Caenorhabditis elegans: one gene and its partner. The protein of the gene in region 1 purifies or fractionates together with the protein of each later gene. This does not show direct contact. Each region holds a gene or a part of one and is shown in the gene's direction. Other genes may lie near its edges.

What was found.
Region 2: the proteins of ints-8 (region 1) and utx-1 fractionate together in Caenorhabditis elegans (co-fractionation; one large-scale study listed by BioGRID). This does not show direct contact.

The regions. Positions count from the first base shown.
Region 1 is NC_003279.8:13,467,372-13,471,952, reverse strand, and holds the start of ints-8 (INTegrator complex Subunit homolog), read left to right. Parts: upstream 1-1,581; 5' UTR 1,582-1,601; coding exon 1,602-1,701; intron 1,702-1,752; coding exon 1,753-1,933; intron 1,934-2,709; coding exon 2,710-3,081; intron 3,082-4,581. Other genes in the region: ndrr-1 (Protein NDRG3), read left to right, coding at 1-139.
Region 2 is NC_003284.9:8,555,356-8,563,150, forward strand, and holds the start of utx-1 (JmjC domain-containing protein), read left to right. Parts: upstream 1-1,795; 5' UTR 1,796-1,824; coding exon 1,825-1,890; intron 1,891-1,942; coding exon 1,943-2,019; intron 2,020-2,072; coding exon 2,073-2,399; intron 2,400-2,448; coding exon 2,449-2,569; intron 2,570-2,901; coding exon 2,902-3,042; intron 3,043-3,096; coding exon 3,097-3,369; intron 3,370-3,485; coding exon 3,486-3,605; intron 3,606-3,749; coding exon 3,750-3,882; intron 3,883-4,573; coding exon 4,574-4,758; intron 4,759-4,805; coding exon 4,806-5,030; intron 5,031-5,458; coding exon 5,459-6,331; intron 6,332-6,386; coding exon 6,387-6,976; intron 6,977-7,024; coding exon 7,025-7,213; intron 7,214-7,397; coding exon 7,398-7,518; 3' UTR 7,519-7,795. Other genes in the region: dhhc-14 (Palmitoyltransferase), read left to right, coding at 370-540.

The DNA.
Region 1 (4,581 bases):
TGTGACGGAGAGCATGATGCTCTTTTTGCAGGGATTGGGATATTTTCCGACGCTTAATGTGATGAAGATGACGAAAAAGATGCAGGAGACGCAGAATGGAGGCTTTGCTGCCGTTGCTAGCAGTGCTAATGAATGTTGATTGTATTTTCTCTTTTTTAGGGGAAATTTGACTGAAAATTTGAATTAAAAAAAAAAAAGAAAAATGCCAAAGAGTTCCGATGGGGTGAGGCTGAGCCAGAATTGTAGTTTGTAGTTTCTGAGCCTCACCCAAATTTTGAAGCGATTTTCGTGGAAAATACATTTATTTTGGTCGAATCCAAATATTTTTTTTGCGGAAAAATCGAATTTTTCAATTTTCAAACTTTTGTTTTCTAAAAGTCATGTTTTTTGAATAAAAAATCGAAAAATCGACCAAAAACTGCGAAAACCATCCACTGATTTGGTTGAGGCTCAGAGACTACAAACTACAAATATTCCACAGCCTCAACCAAGGCTTTTCGTTTAAAAACTCGAATTTTCAGTAGATTTTTCCCGATTTTCATCTACTTTTCCCCAAATTTCAAATGTATTTTCACCATTCTATCCTAAATTTTAAAGAAAAATGCCAAAAAATTCCAATTGAGTGAGGCTGAGCCAGAATTGTAATTTGTAGTTTCTGAGCCTCACCCAAATTTTGAAACACTTTTCGTGGAAAATTCGTTAATTTTAGACGACTTTTTATTTTTTTTTTGCTGAAAAATCGAAATTGTAGCATTTTTCATAGAATTTTTCTATATTCAAGCTTTTCATGTGGAAAAATCTGAAAATTATCAGATTTCTATGAAATATTTCTTTCATGAAATTTCGTCGAATTTACACATTATTTTTCGAAAATGCTAGCTTTTTCCCAGATTTTAGACAATTTTCGCGAGAAAAATCGACTAAAAACTACGAAAACCATAGCTAAAACCATCCACTGATTTGGTTGAGGCTCAGAGACTACAAACTACAAAAATTCCACAGCCTCACTCAACAATTTTTCGCTTAAAAACTCGAATTTTCAGTCGATTTTTCCCGATTTTCATCTACTTTTCCCCAAATTTAAAATGTATTTTCTCAATTTTTGTCCTCATTCTACACCTTTCTTTCGAAAATTCCGCTACTTCTGTCTCTCCCCGCTCTCTCTACCGCATGTGTGATCACCATTCTTTCTCTTTAGCTTTATTTCGTAGAAGCAGCAACGCCATATAATAATTAAAAATCGTCGTTATTTTTCTTGAAATTCTCTACGCATTTTACCCCATTTTTTCGTGTTTTATCTCAATACGATTCCTCTGCAATGCCTTTTTTTGCGTTTCCTTTCAATAAAATGAGATTTTTATTTGATTTATATTACTTCATTTTCAGATTTTTGATTTCAGTACTAAAATTCCTCGAATATACTTTAAAATTAGCTATTTATTCTGGTTTTAAACGGGAAATTCCCTTCATTTCCCCCTCGCGGCCACGCGCGTTTTCCAAGGCCACCGGCCGTGTAGTCCTCTCGGATAACTTCGAATTTAGACATTTCCGCAGTATTTTGCTAAAAAAACCGAGTTTCAGACGGAAATTGAGCATTTTTAATGGATAATCCGGAGAGTACGGGTGACGTTTCGTGGTTTGAGCTATTCGTCGACCCAACATGCATCTCAAAGTCGCTTTTGGACCCGGAAAAGAGAAAACGTAGGGAAAAATGCTCGTTTATGCCTGAAAATTCATGCTTTTCCATTGCAGAACTCCCACGACTATGTATGCAATTCACGGATAAAGGATTCCTCGCCGAACGGGAAAAAGATAAAGGAAAATTGGCTGTCGAGGAGCTGATGCTCTTCGAGAGAAAGGCGGCAAGTATGAGATTGTGTGCGATGGCCACGTTTGCCGCGTTGGATTATGATATAGAGTTTATTATTGATAAGTGAGTACTTGATTGAGGTGAAAAAACGAAGAAAAATGAATGAAAATGAGGCTAGAAGAGTTCTGTGGGTTGGTTGAGGTTCACAGACTACAAACTACAAAATTTCTGAGCCTCAACCAATTTTCTAGTCAAAAATTCTGATTTTGAGAGTTTTTCAGTTAAATTTCTTGTATATTTTGTGGAAAAATACAACAAAAAAGATTTAAATGCTCAAACAATTTGAGAAATTTCTTAAAATTCAATTTTTTTAAATTTTTTGAAATTGTAGTTTGTAGTCTGAGCCTCAACCAATTTGCTAATTTGAAAACAAATTATTTTGGATGTTTTTTCATAGATTCAAATTTATAAAAAAACTGAAATTTAGGTTTTCTCTGAAATTCAGAATTTAAAAAAATGCCGAAAATTCCAAAAAATTCGGAAATTTCACAAGAAACGTCCAAAAAATTCGAATTTTTAAAAATCTTAAATCGAAAATTGAATATTTCGCTCTTCCAGGCAAAGAAAACTACAAAACTTCGTGAAAAGTTGCGTTAAAAATGGTTGAGGCTCACAGACTACAAACTACAAAATTTCTGAGCCTCAACCAATTTTCTGGTCAGAAAATTGAGATTATGAGAGTTTTTCAGTTAAATTTCCTGTATATTTTGTAGAAAAATACAAAAAAAAAACTTTTTGTTTTTAAATTTCACACAAATTGCTCAGAAAACCAGCAATTAATTTTGCAATTTTGCAATTTTGTAGTTTGTAGTCTTAGCCTCAACCAATTACTTTTCCAGCATTCCTCGCAACGAAATCCAAACATTACGTGTGCTGGCCGACAATTTCTATCGAATCTACAACGAAAAGAATCTCGACGCAACATTCGGCAATTGGCTCTTCTACCGTTTCGTACTTTCCATAGATCGCCGTAATCGTCTTGCACCGCCGGCTCCGCGAGCCACAATTCCAACAACTTTAAGCAATGGACAACTGATGCCAACTGATCCAGCACTGCTGAAACACGAAAAAACACAAAGAACAATTATGGAATTAAAGGAACATGTGTTGAAAGCGAGAGCATTTATAACTGAATTGGCAGAAGTTCCACGAGATGTTGTTGCTCCAGGAATTCAGTGCTTTTTGAAGCCTTTTGTTGAACTGGCACCGAAGTGAGCACGAGAAAGTGCTGAAAATCCGCTAAAAATCCGCTAAAAACTTCAAAAAAACTAGTTTGAAACCGAAATATTTTTGGTTGAGGCTCAGAGACTACAAACTACAATTTGTGTGAGCCTCAACCAACTGTTTTAGAATGGCTGAGTGAGGCCAACAAAATTTTGTAGTTTGTAGTATGGGTCTTCAGTTGATAAGATTTGTTGAATAGCTGGAATTTGAGAGAGAGAGAGAGAGAGAGAGAGAGAGAGAGAGAGATAGAAAAAAGAAAACTTCTGAATTTTACAAGTTGCTCTCAGTGAGTTGGTTGAGGCCCAGGCAAGCTACACTACAAACTACACATTTCTGAGCCTCAACCAATTTTTTTTAAAATTTTCTATTTTTTTTTCTTGAAAAGCAAGTTTTTCGAACAAAAGTGTGATATTTAGTCCAATTAATCAGCATTTTTCTAATTTTTCAGCCAATCTTGTCAATTTGAATTTGGTTGAGGCTTAGACTACAAACTACACTTTTTCTGTTAGCCTCAACCATTTTTCGCAGAATCTTTCAGTATTTTATATGAAGAAAATCCTAATTTTCGTTGAAAAAATCAAGATTTTGACCCTAAAATAGCGAAAAAAACATCAAATTTTGTTTTTAAAAAGAACTGCTGAAAATTTGGGTGAGGCTCAGAGCCTACAAACTACACATTTCTGAGCCTCAACCAAATTTTTTTTTTTAATTTTCGATTTTTGCGAGTTTTCAAACGATTTTTTCCTGAAAAGCAAGTTTTTTTCGAACAAAAAGTGTGATATTTAGTCCAATTAATCAGCATTTTTCTAGTTTTTAATACCTATCTTGTCAATCTGAATTTGGTTGAGGCGTAGACTACAAACTACACTTTTTCTGTTAGCCTCAACCATTTTTCGCAGAATTTTTCAGTGTTTTATAAGAAGAAACAATACGATTTTGAGTCATTTTTCAAATGAAAATTCTTCAAATTATACAAAAAAAATTGATTCCTAAAAGTTAAGTCATCGGAAAAAAATTCGAATTTTTTTTTTCAGAAATTTTTTGATTTTGACAATTCGTTTTTTTTTCTCGAAAGGTCGAATATCAGTTTCTCACACTACAAACTACAAAATTTTTTTTTGTAAAATCCCAGCTTAATTACATTTATTTTGTAATTTTCTGATTAAAATTAGAGCAAAAAATCTGCTATAAATTGTGTAGTTTGTAGTCTAGTCTTCACACACATCAATTTTTCAACCAAATTTTAACTTTCAAATCGAAAATTATCGCTATATTTTTTATTCATTACCCACATTCTAATATCGTTTTCCAAAGTTTTTCTCTCACACTACAAACTACAAAACCACAGCCCTGTAAATGCAGGTTCTGTAGTTTGTAGTCTGTAAAATACACCATTTTTCCACAAATTTTGTGTGATTTTCGCTAATTTTTGTTTTGCTCTTTTGCTTTAAAGAAGGACTAACTGTTCGGACGGTTTTGAACGTATA
Region 2 (7,795 bases), on another chromosome or scaffold:
CAATACTATTTTTGATAGTTTAAATTTAGTTCGAGATTACCTATTTTCAAATGAAACAGCTATTGTGTTAGGTGACGATTTAAAAAAAGTTGTTAAAAATAAATTAATTATTGACGTTTTTTTTGTTAATTGGTTGTTAGGAGTTTTATTATACATAGAAGACAATTGAACTGCAAATAATGAAAATCTTTGAAATTGGCATTTCCAACAAAATTAGGATTGCTAGAGACTTGAACACAAATTTTCGTGGACACATTTAAATGCGTTATTGATAGCAACAGCCACATTACTAATAGAGAACATTCGGTAATTCAATTTTAGAAATTATTCATTCTTGTTACAAAAAATTAAATACAATAATTATTATAGATCTCGCAAGGAGTGACGACCAACGATCGTATCAAAGCTCGCCGAGCTGGTCATGCCCATTCTCACTCCGGCTCCACTGACTACAATGTTATTCATCACAAGCCAAGCATCTCGAAACGGTGTCATAATCTTCTGGAATTCTTTTCCTCTAACGGCGATCCAAACTGGTGAAAATACAAATTCGGATTTTATCTTCATCGGACCTGAAAAACTTGCCCTGCTCCCCGGATTTTTCAAACTTGAGAATCAAAACTTTTCTATGGCATAACAAATCTATCAATAAAAAACAAAATACTTGTAAATGTGAATCAGAAACCTAAATTTAAATTTCATCCCCGCCCATTCCCCCATTCACAATCTACTCTTTTTCATTTTCTTTCAGTTTTACATGAGATACTTCACTTGTATAATTTGGTTGTGAAAAGATTTTAAATGCTCTCTATCTCCCTTTTTCCCTCTTTCATTTCCTTTTTTGTTAAACTTTTTGTACATTCCGGTTAGAATCAAGTGCTTGGAGATATTTGAAGTTTTCCATCAGTTTTCTTACTTTGCTCTTCTCTCTTGCGTATTTCCGAGATCTCTTTTTCTTTACTGTTTTCCTAGATGTAAATAAATTTTCTTGAAATTAAACAAGAACTCAGTTTGTGTTGTCCAAAATCTTGGATTGTAACTTTTTTTTCCAGCGGTCTTCCTGTTGTTAATCTCAAAAAGCTCAGGTTTTAAAGTAATAACTTCTACAACAAGATCCACAATAATGTACTGGTTGCTCTCAAACAAAGTGGATCAAAAACTTAATGTGAAAAAGACATTTCAAAAAACTATAAAGATACCAAAGTTCTATTACTATTGGCAATATTGTTCAAGATTTGTGTTAGTTTTTTATTTACATATTTTTGAAGAATAAAGCAGAGTAGCTTGACAATATTCTTAGCATGGAATTTTTCATAACTCATGTTCTCTCGATTTTACAAATTTCTGAATGAGATTCAGTTCCACTTTGTGCGGTATTGCGAAATCTGCATATATTCACCCTTTCCACAAATTGCCCCCTGACGACCCCAATCCATACTTGCGCACACCATCGACCCACTCCTTGTCCGCCCAAGCGTTTCTAACCGTCTGCGCGTCCGTATACCGAGCACTACCTCTCCATTTCCCCCTCCACCATTCGCCAAACAGGCACAGTAGAGACGGGCTGCGAACGCACGGCAATGGCAACGATACTCCGTTTCTAACGTTGATCTTTGTTTAATAAACCATACTATTTGAATTAAGACACAGTATTGACCAGTTCACAGTGCTCTAATTGATTTTTTGTGCTTATTTTCTTTGTCAAAACTTGATTAAGATTTCTCCAAGTTATGTTTCCTACAATTCTCTTATGTGTATGTATTTTATTATTACTAAATCGCTGCAGTTTTTCCAGATTTGTATAATTCCCAAAAAGTCTTGTGCATGAACACCGTATCGCTTCTCACACCGCCAATGGACGAATCAGAACCTCTGCCGGAGGAGCGTCATGTAAGGATTACTTGTTTTTAGTGCGCAAAAGTTAAATTTTCTCATTTTTCAGCCTGGAAACTTTAAAAAATGGCTGGAACTGCCCCTTCTGACAAATTATGAACTGGAAAGGATTCGCACATTAAGCAGGTTGAAAAATTGTCACAAGATTGCAATAAAGTAAATATTTTTTTAATTTTCAGTTTATCATTCGACGAGTTTCACGTTCAAAACCCAGCCGATCTCACTTATCAAGTCAGATTGTTCTTTGCAAAAGCCCGCCAATACCTTGTCAGATATGTGGATGAGATGAAGAGCATTTATAAAACGCACAAGTACAAGACAATCGAACGGCGCATTTTCTACGGATTGGCGAAACAGTGTCACGTTGTTCTTTTGGCAAATGATTGGACCGGAGCACTGGAGCTTTATCAAGAAGTGTTGAGCCATCATCCTGACCTATTCTCACATGATCCTTCGATGTACTTCGGGTTAGGTCTTGTCTACTTGCATTTCAAACAGTGGAAACCGTGAGTTTTTGTTTTTTTGTTGTGAATAATCTGAAACAAAATCTTCTAGTGCAATCGAGGCATTCACAAGACTGCTATATAGTTTTCCAACCGGTATGATCGCATTGCAAGCAAAAGTTCGTCTTGGAGTGTGTTACATGGAACTTGAAGATTACAACAGATGCATAAATGTAAGTATTAAGAAAACGATCTGAAAAAGTTATAAGTTGAGACATAAAAAAAACAAGTTTTAATTGCATTCAATGCGTTATTAAAATTTGTAGTGTTTCTACAATCTTTCTTAATTAAACTTTTGGTAAGTCTTACCATCAGCTTTCTCGAGCAAACTGGCAGTTTTCCCACAACTAGTTGTGGAAAATTAGCTAGATACTCTACAAAGCTAGATCAAAAGACCGAGAATACGCATGCTTTTGCAATAAAAAGCTATACTCCAGAAACTTTACAATGCGTAAAATTTCGTAAAATCTTTTCAGTTATTTAATAAACTTATTATATTTTACAGCTGTTCAAACTTGCCGTCAACGACAGTGATGAGTCAGTATTTATGCCGAAATTCACAATTAAGTACAACATTGCTCTGAGCCACGAGAATAATGATGAGCTTGAAATTGCAGAATCAGAATATGAAAACCTAATAACTGAAGTGAGTAGTATCACCAAACAATGTTAAAAACAAAAAAAAATCGAATAATTTCAGTTAACACAACACATCAGTTTCTTACAAAGCAAGTCGAATGTGGATCAACAACAAGTTGACTTATTGATAAGTGTGAAAGCAGCATGTTTGCGACAAATTGGCTGGATTTCATATCGCCGCTCTTATAAAGACGATGCAAATCGTCTGGATCATTTGAAGAAGGCCCAAGAGAATCTCATTAGTGCACATGATACAGATCCACGAGATGGACAAAGCTACTACTATCTGGGACGAGTCTACGGGGAACACGAGCCTAGTGTTAGTGGACAAGTGGTTTGTGTTCATTTTGTTCCTTAACAATCTTAAAAAATAACTTGTTTTATTTCTATTAACCTCTAATTTTCAAAAAAAAACGTTAGGAAAATAATTTAATTCTTCCTGAATTTAAGGCACACGATGCGTTTGTCAACTACCGGTTTTCGATTGACAAAAAAGAGCAGAATGCGGACACGTGGTGCTCAATTGGAGCTCTGTATCAGCGACAAAATCAACCCATTGATGCTCTTCAGGTATGTTCAGGAATCAAAATTAGAGTTTTTGGAAACAATGTGCACAGTGTGCAAGATCAGAGCAATTCTCAAAACAATGGCGTATGCCCACCCCAATCTTTCCAATAAATGCCTCCAATTTTTAATATATTGAACACGTTTTAGGCATTCATATGTGCAATTGAGCTGAATTCAACACATTCTGCGGCATGGACAGATCTCGGAGAGCTTTATGAGAAAAATGCCCAGTACCAAGATGCGCTGGAGTGTTTCAAAAATGCAATGCTGAACAATCCAGGTATGTTGATGGTTTCCTGAAAGAAAAAGTAGAAGAATATAAATAAATTATAACTTTTCTGGAAAAACCAAATTGAAATTTCTATCAAAAAATGTTGTGAATGAATCAGTTTCAATATGATTTTCTTCATTTCTTATCAGCCAATGATACTTGCCTGTCTATAGTAGAATGGGTGTCGCTAAATTTGCTATCGCCAAACATTGAATGTAAACTTAAACGAAAATATAAGAGAAATGAAAGGATATAACAGAAGCACAACTAATCTGCTTAATCTCTAGTCACCAGATAAAATTTCCACGTGATTGGAAAATATATTTAAAGGAAGTATGACAACATTTATGACAACGACTGAAAAATGTTTAAGAAAAAAACCAAGTTGTTTCAATTGTAATGGTCTTTTCTAAGAAAGCTCTGATAACAAACAACATTCATTTTGAAATTAGCAATACACACTGTAAGTGTTTCCAAGTTGAAAATGTTTAATAAAATAGAAGACGTGACAAATGAAACGCAGTATCCATTAAAAAGAGAAACAATATATTTCATTGCAGTTTTGAGTTTTTCAAGTTTTAGGAAGGTGAGCTTGTAAATGTAGGTTAAATGTAAAGCTAGAGGCTGTTTTGAGTGAGTAGTAGTAATTAACGATTTCAGATTTTTTAAAGAACAAACTAATGTTATCATGACATTTCAGTTGCTCCGGAACCAATCAAAGCTCGTGTACAATTTCTTGAAAAAGAACTCTCGATGCCTGTGCCCGCACGTCCCTCAAATCACGCCTCGTCATCAACATTTGAAACCGTGATACCTTCATTGAAAGAAGCTTATGAGCAGCCAATACCTCTAGAGCTTCGTAATCGTCAAGACGCTGCCTATGCTGTAAGTGATTGTTGTCATGTGCGTTTTTTTGAAACCACAATTTTTAGGACAGAGAAGCTCAGTATGACAACGCGTTTTGGGATCTTTGGGAAGATTTCAGAACAATGGAGCATGAAAAGCCGGAAGATATGGAATGGGATGTAACGTATCCAAGGCCAATGGAAGATCTCGAAATCCAGGTTATGCAGTTGCTTCGTGCCAACGAACCAGCTTTAGTAAAAGCTGAGAGAGAAGTTCTTGAGTGTTTGGAAACCAGCGAGGCAGTGTTTAAGGTAATAAGAGCTCAAATAGCTGACAAACACAGGCCAGTGAAAAATGCGAGCAAAAAAGGCCAAACACGGCTTAGAAGTCATACTCTTTTCATTAGTGTATGATAGCTATACATTTATGCCAGTACATCAAGGGAAGTGATGATGCAGTTGCTGCCAGGGCGGCCGCCAGTGTTGCTTCTAACATTAAAAAAGGAAAAAAACGAGAGAATTTCATAGCGTATCTGTTGCACAAATCTCTTGAGTAGACGCAATGAGCCTAATTATAAAGCTTTTCTATGTTCTATTGTCGCATGTAAAATATATTCTGAATAACTGAAGCGTGATCAGAACTGAAAGTTAAAGTTGTGACTCACTTTTTCTGTAATCTGAAACATTTGAAAACCATAGGGATTATTAAATGGTTTATTGAAAAACATTAAATTTTTCAGGCAAAAGTTATTGAATACGTAATTCCGGAAGCCGTTCGTGAAATGCCACGTGTCACCGAGGAAATGATCCAAAACCTTCGCGACCATGGGCATCTACTTGAATCGCCGAGATGCTACAGCTTCCCATTCTTACCGAAAATTTCGTTTAATGACCTTCCGGATAGTTTCAGTTTGCTCTCGGAGCTCTATGTTTCAATGGATATCAGCGCTCAGGAAATTATGCAAATGGTTCATAGAAGAACTCAGCCAAACTCCACATACCTACCAGTGTTTGAAGAATTTGCGAAGTTACCCGAGCCACCACGAGGTCCCGTAAAGCCAATTGTAACAGATGAAGATGTACGCACGGCGCTAGAAAGGAGTGAAAAGCATCCATTAATTCTTAAAACCCCAATTCTTACGGTGGACAATAGGAAGGAAGCTCAAAGTCTGGAATTACAACGGTTTTTGGATGGGTCTACTATTTCTTGTATTCGTGGACTTACTGGTTGCCTTCGCCTCGATTTGTCGCTATTCTCCACGAAAGCAGTGGCAGAAATTGACGGAAACCAAGAAATTGAAATCCGAACTCAGTATCAACTACCACCAGAAACGAACTGTGATCATGCAAGTCAACAGACATGGCAATGTGTCAGTGATCCCTCGTACACAACAGTCAACAAGTATGCCGAGTATCAATCGGAATCGTTCAAGCACACGCTAAAGGGTGAAGCTGAGAAAATCAAGAAAAATGTGGGAGGAACACGTGGACCTTCTCCTAAAAGAATGAAATTGTATAAGCGAGCCAGCTCTCCACCGAAACATCTGAAGTCTATTAAATATGGAACTAATATTGATTTATCTGATGACACTAAATGGGGAAAACAGATCAACGTAAGTTTTTTTATTGCTCCATATTTTAAAACCAAACACAACTGCCGTTTTTCAGGAACTTTCTAAACTTCCTGCTTTTTGTCGCCTCATCGCCGGCTCAAACATGCTCTCCCACTTGGGGCACCAAGTTCACGGCATGAATACTGTTAAGCTTTTCATGAAAGTTCCTGGCTGCAGAACACCAGCTCATCAGGATAGCAATCACATGGCTTCCATCAACATAAACATTGGTCCCGGTGACTGTGAATGGTTTGCCGTTCCATACGAGTATTGGGGAAAGATGCATAAGTTGTGCGAGAAGAATGGCGTTGATCTTTTGACTGGAACATTTTGGCCTATTATCGATGACTTATTAGATGCAGGAATTCCAGTGCACCGTTTCACACAGAAGGCTGGAGACATGGTATATGTGAGTGGCGGAGCCATTCATTGGGTACAAGCTTCGGGATGGTGCAACAACATTTCTTGGAATGTGGCGCCACTCAACTTTCAACAGTTGAGCATCTCTTTGCTCAGCTACGAATACAACAAGCTGCGCCGATTTAAGAGTGAAGTTCCAATGCAATTAATGTGCTGGCAAGTAGCAAAGAATGTCAAGTTTACCAACCAGCTCATCTACAATACTTGCAAAGGTGTATTGATTAGGTGAGTAGCCTAAGAAGAACAATCAAGTTTGTAATAACTTTATTTCAGATCACTTGCATTCCTGAGAATGGTTGCCGATTATATCGTGTCTCAGAAGAAAACCATAAAAGCTCATACTCGAACAAGTGGAGAACAATCCCATTTCTGTATGACGTGCGAGTGTGAAGTGTTTTGTATTTTGTTCGTGAAGGATATTGGCGGAAAGTTTACAGTCTTCTGTGTATACTGTGCTAAATCGTAAGTTTTCAAAATTTTTGAACGTTTTGGGCTTAGAAATGGTTATTTTTTATGCCTAAAAATACAAAAACATTCAACACGTGATTCTGTATATTTTTGAAAAGTTACTTTTAAAAAATACACAAGTACTTGCGGAACCTCACTCAGAATTATAGTGGTTCGAAAAGAAAATGTGATTTTTCAGGCAAGGAATCGAAGGCTTCATAGCTCTTCAGCAGTTCTCGTTCACCGACTTGTACTCAATCTACGACAACATGAAATATATACCCGCAGCTAACAACAATAAGATGAGTTTCACTGCCTAGAAAGTTCTAGTTAGGACGTTTTAATCATTGCATATTTTATTTCACAAACCTGTTCCACTTGATGTGCCTCTCTCCCTCACCCCAAACATTTCCCCGTTTCAATTTTTGGCGAAAGCTCAAAAGGTCTCGTTCACTTATCTCAATCTTCTCAATTAGTTCATTTGTGTCCCTCTTTCGATACACTTCCAAAACTGTGAAAACCCAAATTTTAAACTATTTCCTCAATTTATCTGATCTCCTGTTTATTGTTGAACTTTTTTTTCAAACTGACTGCCAT